Linked DNA regions of Coturnix japonica. The main gene of each other region encodes a partner of the protein of the gene in region 2 in a complex. Links are inferred from orthologs where the notes say so. Each region holds a gene or a part of one and is shown on either strand. Other genes may lie near its edges.

Region 1 (6,360 bases), on a different chromosome or scaffold from region 2:
AGCATACAGGAGGGACCCATGTATCTTGTGGTTTGTTTTTTTTTTACCCTGTCTTTCATCAAGAGTCTGTCAGTGTCCTCCAGATTGGGAACGAGCCTAAAACAGAGGAGGATTAAGGACTTCCTGAGCTGCCTGTTTCCTTAAGATCTTCAGAATGTTCCCGAGTCTCCCTGTTGTCCTGAGCAACCTGTTTTATCATAAGGGAAGGCTGGAAAGGGCTAAATGTGACTGTTCCAACCAGCCAGCCACGAACCTTCCTAAGTCTACAGCTCTTGCCCAACTGAACACTGCAAGGCTTCATTCCTGGCAGAGATAAAAACAGTGTCTCTACAAATCCAGGCCATAAATAGGACCCTTAGTTCTTTTAATAACAAACAACGGTGGCCAGTGGAGGAACTTTTAAGCCTACAAATTAAACTGCGGCAGTTCTTTGAGGGAAGGCTGATGGTGTAGCAGGAGTCAATGTGAAGAAGAAAATAGTTTTTAACCAGTCCTGAGGAGAAATACAGTGGAAGGACCTAAAGGTTCATGTTATGGCTGAAGAGCCATTGCTGGATTTGGAAGAAGTTATAACAATCGTGGGGTGGAAAGCGGGGGCAGGTGTCCTATGTGCTGTATGTTTTATTTATGCCATTCTTTGAAACCTGTGGCTGCTGTGAAATAAGCTATTCGCTAGAAGCATCAAGGGCCTGAGCCACTGTGACTTGATCCTTTTTTTCCCCCTTTTTGGTGTTTTAGAAGGTAATCTGTATAATAGGAATAATGATGTCATCTCTCTTTCAGACATCTTGAAATCTGCATGTGAGGAGTCTGTGTTCTTAATGCTTAGTGCAGTGGTTTGCCCTCTAATGTGATCTTACTAATGGTGTTATGCTGAGAGAGGTTGGAAGCCAGTGAGGTTTAATATCCAGGTTAAGGATGCTGGTTGTGGTTTATAACACTCTTGGTACATAGGCTGGGTCCATTCTGCAACTTGCAACACTGAAGTACAGGGATACACTATAATTTGGGGATTCAGTCCTCCCCAGCATGGAGAAGACATCAGTTAAAGCTGGTGTGTTAAACTGGAGCAGGACTCTCCAGGCGATAAGTGAGATCATGTGGAGAAGGGTTCTTAGACAAGCATCTGTCACATAGTCTGAGATCTGCTATAAAGCTTCGGTAGAGTTTATTAGAGAAATCTCTACCTACTTTCTTTCCCAGGGTGGACGTTTCACAGGAAACTTAAGTTCAGAATGCTCAGTGTTGCATATTTGGCCATCATCACCAAAATAGTTTTCCATGACTCTTTAGGAGGTTGAAATAACTCAGCACCAATTTAGGCAAGCATAATTACTTGCAAAGAATGTAATTGTTTCATCTTGGGGAGAGCACAGTCCAGTGATCTGTGCCAACAACTGGCCAATAAGTCTCTAAGCGTCCTCCTCTGAAAAAGGAAAGGAAGCTTAAAAACTCCTTCACACAATTGATGCTTTCAAGATGTTTAGATCAACATTCAGTTTTAAATCTGACACTGTGTGCAATATTTAGTTTGAAGTCTTTGTTTACCTGGGCTGTGTAGTCGTACAGTACTCTGTAGTCCTGTGACGATGTAGTTCTTTCATGTTCATTTACAAAAATGGATGCGTAGACCCCATCTGCTTTCTCTGATTGGGGGGGGGGAAGGAAAAACAGAAACAAATAGTTCAGTTGCTTATAAATGCATGGGATCTTACGCAAGAGTTCACAAATACAAGGGTCTCTGTTCTCTCTCTGTCTGGAGGTGTACGTGTATAGAAAAGCTGCTGTGAACTGTAGGTAAATTCTTGCACAAAAACTGTGTCCCATTGATTGGGGGACAGTGCCCCCATTGAGCTTTCTGGGAAGTCAGGAGCATTAGCTTCATCCAGGTTGGGAAAGATGTTTACCCTGCTAAAGCACGACCACAGAAGTGCAGAGAAGGAAGTACTGTGAGTAAACTGGTGTAAACTGTTTGCTACTGGAGATGTGAGATTCTGGCAGTTCAGTGATTCATGCAGAGGTTTTTCCTTTAAGAAAAGTGGAAAATACCGTGCTGGTGTGGTGGGTCATCAGACATTTTCCATTAGTTCACATAGTTTCCATTTAGCTGTTTGTCACAGATGGGACTTTGCTGGAGGATATTTTAAACCGGCTTGTCATTATGTAGGAAAACTGTGATTCAGGAAGAGACAGAGCTAGCCCTATTGAAAAGAACCACCTGGGTCTCTTGTGCTGTTCTAGTGCTCATGGCGTAACCACGGTGGTAAAATGGAAGTACCAAAGCCTTGCTGCTGTGGATGCTGTTGTGCTGACACAGTAGTCCAGGCTAGAGCTGCTCTCGTGTACTTCCCAAGCACATCTTTGCTTTCAGTGGGGCTGTGTGGGGAAGAGAAGGGCAGCCGTGGTGTGAGCAGTCCAACCCTTCAGGGCTGGCTAAAGATGAAGGGGAGAGCAGGCTCTAATTACATGCTCACAACCTGGTATGTCAGCCCAGGTGAAAACACTGCCTTAAGTGGTTTCCAAAATGTGATGACTGTGGTGTGCTAAATGAGCAGCAAGGTCTACTTGGGCTCCACACTATGTCTGAATGAGAGATGGACAGCCAGCAGGGCTTTTTCTGCAGTTAGAGGGAGATTATTATACCAGGCTTGAGCATAAGGTACCACCACAGATGCTGTTTACTTGGATAAAGTCGAGATCTGCTGTTAAATCCAGCATTTGATGTAATATTGTTGTCTATTTCTGGTAAGTTTTTCCTGTATGTAGTCGTTACACAGCTCTGCAAGAGACCAAATGCCTTCAGGCTGTGTGTATGTGGATGCTGCTGCATGCTGAGTTAGGCAGCTGGGGCCTGGCAGGTCCAGCTGGTGCCTGATAGCTCCAGAGAGACTGTGCTTCCTGAGCACTAAATGCAGCAAGTGGGGTAGCTGCAGCCTCATTACTGGGCATCCAAGCAGGCAAGGCAGGCCTTGCAAAGGAAATTGACCTGAGTATGTTTAAAAGCTGTTTTAAAGGAACTTTTTGATTTCCTGTAGGCAGCAATCTCAGTTCAAATGTTTCGGGTTTAAATCAATAAAAATGCTGTAAGCTGCTGCTTTCTGCATGATCAAAATACTGTTTTAAATGCCCTACTGATAAATGCCTGAGTGCACGGGTTGTGATAATGCAGTCCAAGTGTGAAATGAGATGAATATTTGTATTCATAAGGCATGAGGCAGGTGTGTTAAAGACTTCAGGGATTCCCTTGTGCTTTTTAGAGGTAGCATATCCAACGTAAGGAGAATACTATTATCTTTACTAAAACTGCATTGGTCTGAAAGCACAGTGTGCCCTTACCCAGATAGAGGTCTTGAGGTTCTTATGGCCCTAAGGTTATATAGATTATTTAGTACTTCAGACTGGGAAATCTGAGCTGAATTTGTTTTCGATCTGCTCGTTCTCTTGCCTGACATCATGTGAACGTGTGCTGTAGTTCTGCTCTGTGTTAAAGCTGGACTTAGCAAGTGATGTTAAACACATCTGGTGAATTTACTCCCTGGTGAGGCATACCTAAAGGAGGGGCTGAAGGAATGACGCTTTCAGTGTTGTTTTTGCTGCTTCCATGCAACAGTCCAGAGAATCTGCAGAACCAAGAGAAGTCAATGACAAAATGAGTGAGCAGGGCATTTCTTACAAGACTCAGCTGTCAGACTTAACCTTCCCCCTTGACCTTACATGGATGTCATCCCTTCCCATGGTCATCTGCTTTCCTTTATCTATAGATACTCTTACCTTCAGTTAAAGTAAAATCTAAGAAAAAAAAAACCTTAGAAAATAACCGAACCAGATGAACTGCTGGTCATCGCTAAATTGATGCACTAAATGCATCACACAATATTGTGTTGTGGATCCAGAGACTCATGAAACAGAATTCCAATCATCTCATTCTATCGATACGATGAGAATTCTCAGTTGTTTACAAAAGAATACAATTCCTTTAGGGAAAACCAATGCAATTCAAAATACAAAGCCTTTCTAACATACCTTTCTAGAAATAGTGAATTTAAGTGAAATACTTTTGTTTCCTTTATTTATTTATTTTTTAATCTCACCTAGTTGTTTTCTATATCACAGCTGGATTCTGGCTGGGAACTGGTGACCAGGCCAAGCGAGAAGATGGTTTAGGATATAAGTGTAGGTAGCAGTAGTATGGAGTGCTTAAGATGTACATCGAGGGTTTGATTTTTCAGCTGGTGAATGGTCAGTGATTCAGGAAAATGGATTTCTAAGCTCAATGAGTTCTCAAAAACTGAGGCTGAGCCTCTGAAGGCTGTTTGCTCCTGCTGGGCACAGCTGTATTCTAAATGGCCATACAATTGTCTTCTGTAATTGCAGAGGCTGCAATGTTAGGATTCATTATTATATAAAATCTTGTTTCCAACAGGGAACCAAATATTGTGTATAAACCTTATCAGCTCGCTAACAAGCCTGGCCCACGTTTTAAATGGGAGATCTCAGCCCCCTCTTTGTCTTTGCCATAAAATAAGACTTGCCAAACTACAAAGCTCTCCTGCTTTTAAATATGATGCCATTTCTGCCATGAATTAGCCATTTTAGTATAAAATATTTAAACCAATAGCTCTACCGTGCTGTTCCGCTGATATAACTGCATTCATATTACTATATTTACCAGCTTAAATGGATTAGAAAAAGAAAAGCACCTCCCTTATCATCACAGTTATTCCACTAAGTATTTTTTCTTTTGGTCTAGAAAGAGACAGCAGCTCTTTGTTGTTCCCAGCTGGGCATCGCAATGCACTAAGCCAGGAGGCATTGCTGAAAAGGACAGCTCTCCCCAGCCCTGGCTCCCAGCAAGGCTCACCTTTGCCCTCCCTTGCACAGAGTGCTTTTGATGCTGTGTGCCATGACTCACTAGGAAAGAGGAAATAAGTGTGAATGCTCTCTATTGCCAGCAGACTGTTTTATGAACTTGTCCTCTTGTCTCTCTTCCCACTAGGCCAAGGCAAAATGGCTCTGACTCCAGCTTTAATGGGTTTACTTCTTCTCTCGAGTTAGTTTTATTTCTATGCAGCTGTCTCTTGCTACAGTGAAAGAAGAAGTAACTATCCAGGTCCCGTTTACTGTCACAGAAACATAGACTCACAGAATGGCTTAGGTTGAAAGGGATCTTAAAGATCATCTAGTTCCAACCCCTGTGCCATCATCATACACTGAGAAGTAGTACGTCTGGGAATGAAAATTCATCACTTACCTCTTCATCATCCCACAGGTCTGGGTTGGGCTGTTGCTTCTGTTTGGTTCTCTGTCGTAGTAGTTCTCATATCCTATTGCACCTGCAGTAGGGCAACAAAAGAAAAAGGAGATGTTCAATCAGGCAAAACCTATTTCTCTCAATCAGAGTGCAGCCAACAGAATAGCAGAATAGTAACATGTTTGGGGCATCTCAGGGGGATGTAGGTGCTTGACAAAAGCCTTTCAAGTGCTTGTGTGCAGATGCCTTGTTGGTGGAAGGGCGTTCTTGTCCTGGCACAAGCACAGTCAAAGTCGTGAGGAGCCATTGCAACAACAGTGAGAGATCCTAATTCAGAATGTAGTTTAGCCCATGATTGTTTCCCCTGTTTTCTTGAAGCCCCTACTTTAAGGGGAGCAGAGCATGGTCACTGTGAGCCTGTGACTGTGCTCCTGATGCAGTTGGTGGCAATGTTTTGTTTTGTTTTGTTTTTTCCATAACATGTTGAGCTGAGAATTTCTGTTGGAGCTGGGGAAATTTCTGAAAGTCTTTGGGAGCAGCAATAGTGAGAAATGTCCTGCTCTGTGCCTGTGTGTGGCTTCTTACCTTTTGTATCTTCACCTCCACCTCCTGAGAGCTGATTTGCTTTTTACTCAGCAATTGATTGTTTTTCTTCTCTTGAACGCAGTTATGTTACAGTCCCTTCCCTCTCCCCTATGGTGTGGTTGAGGGTGAAATTGAGCTTATTTACAAATCTAGCTTTACAGATGAAATAGTTACAGATGGATTTATTTTTCATCTTACAGCTGCCAGTGCAGTAGCTTAGAGCTGGTAGTCAGAAACCTTCTCAGTGTGAAAGTCAAACAAATATGAGTCAAATCTGACTTGGAAGCCCTGATAACCTATTATCTCAGTTCTGATACCAGGTAATTAAGTAAGATTTTGAACTTAGACTAAAGGTTGTGTTGATGTTTTCATGCTGGACTAGCCAAGACCATAAACAGAGCAGGCACATACAATAGTGAGTGCAAAGAACTCCTACAACAGAGACTCATGGTATTAAAGGATTATTCTTTTTTTTTACCATTTTAAGAGTCTGTGTTTCTTACCCTTCCAGACTTTCTCCTGCT
Region 2 (6,360 bases):
AGCTCGTCTCCCACCTTTCCCCCCGAGGAATCACAGAATGACCCGGGTTGGAAGGGACCTCAAGGATCATGTAGTTCCAACCCCCCTGCCTGGCAGGGCCACCAAACATACACCTTTACTAGATCAGGTTGCCAATGGCCCCGTCCAACCTGGCCTTGAACACCTCCAAGGATGGGGCATCCACAACCTCCCTGTGCAGCCTGTTCCAGGGCCTAACCACTCTCCTAGTGAAGAACTTCCCCCTAACATCCAACCTAAATCTTCCCTCTTTTAACTTCAAACCATTTCCCCGTGTCCTGCTATTATCAGCCCTTTCCAAGAGTTTAAGGGAAGAGTAAGTTCCCTTCAGGTATTGAAAGGCTGCAATGAGGTCACCCCGCAACCTTCTCCAGGCTGAACAAACCCAACTCCCTCAGCGTGTCCTCATAGGGGAGGTGCTCCAGCCCCCTGATCATCTTCGTGGCCCTTTCCAAAATCTCCATGTCTTTGCAGTAAGGAACAGGGTAAGGAAGGTAAGGTAAGAGGGTAAAGAGGCCGAGCGCAGCGCCCCGGGCTCGGAGGTTGTGGGGGGACCCGAGGCCGGGCAGGGAGCGCGAGCGGCGGCCGCTCCCGTCTCACCTCGCTTGCTGGGCCGCCCGGCCGCCCCGTCCGCAGGGCTGCCCCGCCTCGCCTTCTGCGGCTGCAGCACGGCGGGGCGATGCCGGTGGTGATGGTGTCGGCGCTCCTCGAGCGCGGCGGGCGGCGGCGGTAGACTGAGCGAGGAGAAGGCGAACAGCCCGGCGGCGGCGGCGGGCAGGCCGGGCAGAGCGGCCGGGGGCAGCGGCTCCGCCGGGCCGGGCCCAGCCAGCAGCGCTTGGTTCAGCCGGGCCCGTTTGCCTCCAGCCGTATCGCCGGGAGCCGCCCGCCGCCGCCGCCCGCCGCCCCGAGGCCGCCCGGGCCTTTCCCCTGAGGGCAGCGGGGGCGGCTCCTCCGGGGCCCGGGATACGGCGCGAACCGCAGCGACCTGCGCGGCCATTTCACTGCCTGCCTCACACACATTTAAATGGCCCGAGCGCCAGACGGCACTGCGCATGCGTCGCGCAGAGCCACCTAGGAGTTGTAGTTTGAGGAGGGGAGACGGGAAGTGTAGTCCGGCCGAGGGCGCATGCGTGGTGCAGTGACGCGCCCTGCGTTACGTCAGTGAAAAGGGCGGGAAGACAACGGTCTCTCAGGGCCGCGGTTCCAGATGAATTCCGGCCCTTTATATATATACATATATATAATATATTTTTAAAAAATAAAATTATATATATATATATATATACTTATATATATATATAATTATATATTTATTTAATTTATTTAATAATTATATATATAATTATATAACAGTTATATATATAATTATACGTATTATATTTTATATTATTATAAATAAACTTTTATTTATTTACACGGCCTTTGTCACACATCGTAAAACACCATCTAGATTAAATACACCGTCCCACAGTTTAGATATATGGCCTTCAGTGTTCCTGCCTCACAGATGGTTGTGGGGGGTTTCAGTGAGGGCCAGGCCTGCAGGGTGTTTGTTAAGCAGAAATAACAAAGAAATGTGGTTCAAATGAGGGAAAAAATGTGAAATATGAGGGAAAATGGACAGTTTGAGATGGGGATTCCCTGTTAGTGCAGGGGGTGGAACACAGGCACAGCAACATGGCGGCCATGGCCCCTCATTGAGCCTCCACACCATTGAGCATTGCTGGAATCGCTGTTTTCCTTCACAAAGCTCAAACCTGCCCTTGTAAAGTCAATACAATCCCTGATGCAACAAATCTGATCATTAGTTAGGATAAAATCAGCTCCTGGGCCTGATATCCGCCCTGTTGTGAATTGAGAGCTCAGCTGGTGGCTATGCGTCCTTCTGTTCTTCAGAGCTTTGGTTGAAGGATGTGCAAATAGTGCCTCAAATATCCAACGTATTACATGTATTCATTCTGATGGGAACCTTATTGACATGAGCCATCGCAGCGTATCGGGAGATATTCACTCCTCTGTGACACCAAATCGATCAGGTTCACCTAAATATTCCATGCTGGTGGTGGGTTTCTTGGGCCTTTTGGTTTTATAAATCGACTTGCAAAGCCTAGGGGGAAAAAATGCACCAAATTAATCATGCTATAAATATTGACTGTGTGATTTCCTGAAATAATGTTTTGTTTTCTTTTTAAAGGCTTGTCATCCCATGATTTATGATGTAGTTTACTTGAAGCAACAGCCTGTTTTCATCATGAATACGTACCAAAACTAAAGAAAGAGCTCAGCTGATGTGAAGGTGCAGATTCCGATGGTTTTATCAGTGAAGATGGGCTACAGACACCTGCAAACACAGAGTTGCACTGACACAGTTAGTGATCTTCGTAACTCCATGAAGAATTTTGAATGAAAATGAAATGAAAAGGATTTTTGCAGCCCTACAGGAGAACACGCTGCCACACATACAGCTGCAGTGCACACAAAGCACTTACTTTTTCTCACGTTTTTCAGTATTTTCAAACTCTGCAAGGAAAAAAAAGATAAGTACAAAGGTTGTGTCTACGATTCGACAGCTCGGCATCATCACTAGACTTGTTTCCTTGCTCTAAATGCTCTGGTTGTTTGCTTACCTTGCTTCTCCTGAAGCATTTTGCAGGCTCTTTTGATGATGTTTCAGAAGCTCTATTACTCAAGTCCCAAGAACTCGCTGTAGAACTTCTTGTGGGAAGCTGCAGACCTGGGAATATAAAGCAGAACATTTTCTGTGGTCATTCACGAATCCTCTCCCTTCTCTCAGTGCTTTATTGCTGCTTTTTGAAAGAAGTCCTCACTTACTTTCTTCATCAGCGAGAACGAACGACTCCGGGGTTCTTTCAGGAAGAGGGGGAGGAGAATCGGAGCAATCCAGGTTTGTCTCTGGGAAAGCAAAGACAGGAGGTTTGTGTATCTGCCTTTGAAAATGCATATATCTGTTCAATGCAAGGACTGCAGAACTCTACCCTGTATCCTCCATTGTGTTAAAGGAAACATATAACGTGCAGTAAGAGGATGTGACTTTACCTGAGCGTGGGCTCCGAAGCTTCAAACTCTGGAAACAAAAAACAAGGATAGTATATAATAAGGAAATTGACACAGTGATAGTGCTGGAGAAGAGATAAAACTGCACTAATTTACCTTACTTGGTCTCAGTCTCATTGAGTCATTAAACGTCACTGAGGGAGACACACTGCTCTGCTCCAAAGAGGTTCCAGTATTTTCATGTCTAGCTGGAAGCTGAAAATCTGAGGTGGCCAGAGGAAGTTCTCCTGGAAACAAACACTGCTCTGATCCCCCATGAAGGGCCCTCAGAGCAGATGTCAGTCCCTGCACTTACTGCTAACTGCACTTACCTGATTCATTGGCCACAATAAAGGACTCAGGAGTTCGCTCTGGCAGGGGCGGAGGATCATCATCATCTGTCTGGGGCAGGATGTCTAAAGGAGGAGATGTGAGCAGGTTACTGCATGGCACACACAGATGAGAACAGAACCTCTGGCATATGAATAGTAAGACTTGTGCACCAAATCCTGATGGAAGGTGGGATGAAACCTCCTGAGGTCCCCCCCAAGCACTTCCACTTACTCAGTGACAATGTCCTCCCAGTGCTTGGCTGGGCAGTGTGGTGGGACACAGGCCGGAGCGGTGGGGAGGTGGGCACTGTGCAAGGAGGGCCCTGCACATCCTGCCCAACAGATGGCTCTGGGGATGGTGGCTCATCTGGGGAGAGTGAAGAGAAGTAGGGGTCTTCTGCTGAACAACAGTACGGGTAGGGACATTGCCTGCAGTTCCTGTGGCCAGGGGGACAGTCTGCTACTTGGCTTGAGTGGTTCAGCTCAACAGGGAGAAATACATCCTGCTCCTTCACCTGGAAGCCTGAGCAGCAGGTATTTGGTGACTGAGAACTCCAGGTGGGCTTTGCAATCCCTCCATCACAAGCCCAGATTTCTCCTTGCTGTGGCAGCACAAAAGGTATCGATGTGGTCCGTGCCAGAGGTACTTTGCCGTGGGCCCCTCTCCTGCCTGTTCCCTGCAGCTCCTGGTCCAGCAGCAGCTGCTCAGAGGACCTGCTGCTGAGCTGCACACTGCGGTGCTTCTGAAGGGCTTCTCCTGCACTCCACATCTTGACAGCAGCTGCATGTCTGGTGCTGCTGATGTTCAGAGTGCCAACAGAGACCGCTGGTCTGATGGAAGGGCCTCTGTCCCCAGAGCTGCCCCGTGCTGCTGTGGCAGACAGGGATGTCAGCGGTGCTTCATTTTGTACCAATGGAGGAATATATTGGTGCACATCTTGGTCCTCTTGTCCCAAGCTGCAACAAAGCATGGCAGCGTGAAGTCAGAGGCATCAAGCACTCAGGGATCTGTTAGCCCATTAACAAGGCCCCGGAGCATTGCTTATAAGGGCAGATCAGTCCTCTGGGAACACAGAGCCTGCCCAGTTCAACATGGAGCTACAGGGAAGCCCTGTTTGGCTACCATTAAATGGGGAACACAGGAGGACCCTTTAGGCAGCTAGAGCAGTCCTAGTGGTGTTTTCCAACCATGGTGATTCTATGATCCCACAAGATACACAGGAAAAGTGCATCTTCCTGAAATAATAGAGGTAACTGAAAATACAAGGGACACTTGGGTGGTGACCTTACCAGGTCAGCAAACTCAGAGAATAAATATCTTCCACAGGGGTCAGCAGTGGCTTGGGTACAGGATGCCTTGTTAGAACCTGATGGAAGAAAGCGAGAGAGTGTAGAAAAAGAATGCAAAGAGCACAAACGGGCTATTTCAGGAGACAGAACTTCTGCCAACTATTTGTAATGATTAACAGAGTTTGGGAATGACAAACACCAGTTTGGAAACGTCAATTTGGCACTTTTCAGCCTTTACTTAAGAGTGGCAATTCTTAACTTCTTCATTTCTACAAGACTGCAGACAGCTACAGAGGCAACGTAACGCTTGTGTCTGCAGCCAGAGAATAAGGAGAAGCTGTTGGTGTTGGGGCTGTTCCTGTTTACGTAACTTCACATTCTCCCTCAGAAGTGCATGAGATTTGAAATACTTTGACATGGCTTTTCACAAGATGAAATGGCAGGTGAGGAACCAGGGGCCACATAAACACCTCAGTGAATTGGAGGCTTCTGTTCTAATAGAATTATGAATAAATAGGGCAAAATGTGATGTATTCCATTCTGCAATAGGAGGTTAAACCTGCTGTGCCTCAGGCCGCAAGAGGCTGCGTGTTTGTCCTAGTGGCTTTTACCTGTGAAGAAGCAGAATCTTCCTGAGCATCCAATGCTTCAATCTGTCTTTTGAAGAGCTCAATGACAGCATTGTAAACCAGCTTGTACTGCTCCTGCACTCAACAAATAAAGAGACGTGAAAACCAATACAATACAAGTCACCCCTGGTCACCTATCACCCAAATCAAACATCAGCCCCTGTGAGAAGCTGCCACTTTGTGGTCTGGTGGCAGGACAAGTTCTCAGAAGAAATAGAAGCTGCAGTTTCCACGGGGTTGAGACCAAAGCATTTGGTTTTTTTCTGTTAGCTGCTCACACAGCTCTGTTCTGCACTGAGCTTCCTCTTCAATCGCTCTCAGTTGAGAAGAGTTTCCACTTTATTTCCTAGATGGCCGTTTGTTTCACAGCATTAAGGGTTCAAAAAATGGCTCTGCAAGCATTAAACTATCACAGCTGCCTACAGAGAAGTGGTCAGAAATTCGTTTCTGCAAAATCATTCCTCTGCTCAGAAAAGGGACCTTACGGAACAACTGCACCCTCAGTTCCCAGCCCTGCAGCCATTCTGTGCTCCCTTACTGTGAGCCCTCCTGGGGAGGTGCTGAGGTTTCAGTTCTGGTGGTATTCCAGTAGCCAGCATTTACCTTGGTCTGCACTATCGAAGGCCTTTGTGTGCGCATCTCCTGGATCAGGCTGAATATACTGAAGTTCACTGGAACAATCTTGCAAGAAAGAGAAGTTATTAAAACTTAAAAATGAAAGCAGGACTCTGTAAAGTGTGGAGAGACACATACAGACAGTCAACTCGTATTGAAGACTGAAGGCCAGTGCCAACCCAAGACCTGGAAGCTGAAGTCCAAGCCAAGAGCAGCGGGAGCAGGAAGGTCTGCAACCTGCCTGCACAGATGCAATGTATGTGAGCACACGTGGTGGGGCTGACACCTACCCCATCCTTAAGCAGCTTCCAGGTGTAGTCAATGGCACAAACAACTCCTGTTCTCCCGCAGCCAGCACTGCAACAAGAGTCACAGAAGGGTTGCTAGCAGAGATCAGAGATGGGCAGGCTATATTCTCCAAC

The links.
Region 1: the proteins of PTPN22 (region 2) and PSTPIP1 are in contact, whole or in part, in a crystal structure (PDB 7AAM), measured with the Homo sapiens proteins. The link is inferred for Coturnix japonica from reciprocal best matches to the Homo sapiens genes PTPN22 and PSTPIP1. Residues at the interface, in NP_057051.4 of Homo sapiens: Ser793, Lys794, Pro795, Gly797, Pro798, Arg799, Asn800, Pro801, Pro802, Trp805, Asn806; in NP_003969.2 of Homo sapiens: Thr225, Arg228, Asn229, Trp232, Asn236, Ser239, Met240, Cys242, Val243, Asp246.

The regions. Positions count from the first base shown.
Region 1 is NC_029525.1:2,412,621-2,418,980, forward strand, and holds part of PSTPIP1 (proline-serine-threonine phosphatase-interacting protein 1), read right to left. Parts: intron 5,334-6,360; coding exon 5,252-5,333; intron 3,621-5,251; coding exon 3,550-3,620; intron 1,647-3,549; coding exon 1,549-1,646; intron 1-1,548. UniProt on the Homo sapiens protein: Involved in regulation of the actin cytoskeleton. May regulate WAS actin-bundling activity. Bridges the interaction between ABL1 and PTPN18 leading to ABL1 dephosphorylation.
Region 2 is NC_029541.1:3,781,623-3,787,982, forward strand, and holds the end of PTPN22 (tyrosine-protein phosphatase non-receptor type 22), read right to left. Parts: intron 6,296-6,360; coding exon 6,229-6,295; intron 6,005-6,228; coding exon 5,927-6,004; intron 5,399-5,926; coding exon 5,306-5,398; intron 4,772-5,305; coding exon 4,695-4,771; intron 4,362-4,694; coding exon 3,637-4,361; intron 3,489-3,636; coding exon 3,405-3,488; intron 3,321-3,404; coding exon 3,190-3,320; intron 3,104-3,189; coding exon 3,076-3,103; intron 2,932-3,075; coding exon 2,851-2,931; intron 2,753-2,850; coding exon 2,646-2,752; intron 2,539-2,645; coding exon 2,508-2,538; intron 2,360-2,507; coding exon 2,282-2,359; intron 2,126-2,281; coding exon 2,061-2,125; 3' UTR 1,394-2,060; downstream 1-1,393. Other genes in the region: RSBN1 (lysine-specific demethylase 9), read right to left, coding at 619-1,072. UniProt on the Homo sapiens protein: Acts as a negative regulator of T-cell receptor (TCR) signaling by direct dephosphorylation of the Src family kinases LCK and FYN, ITAMs of the TCRz/CD3 complex, as well as ZAP70, VAV, VCP and other key signaling molecules.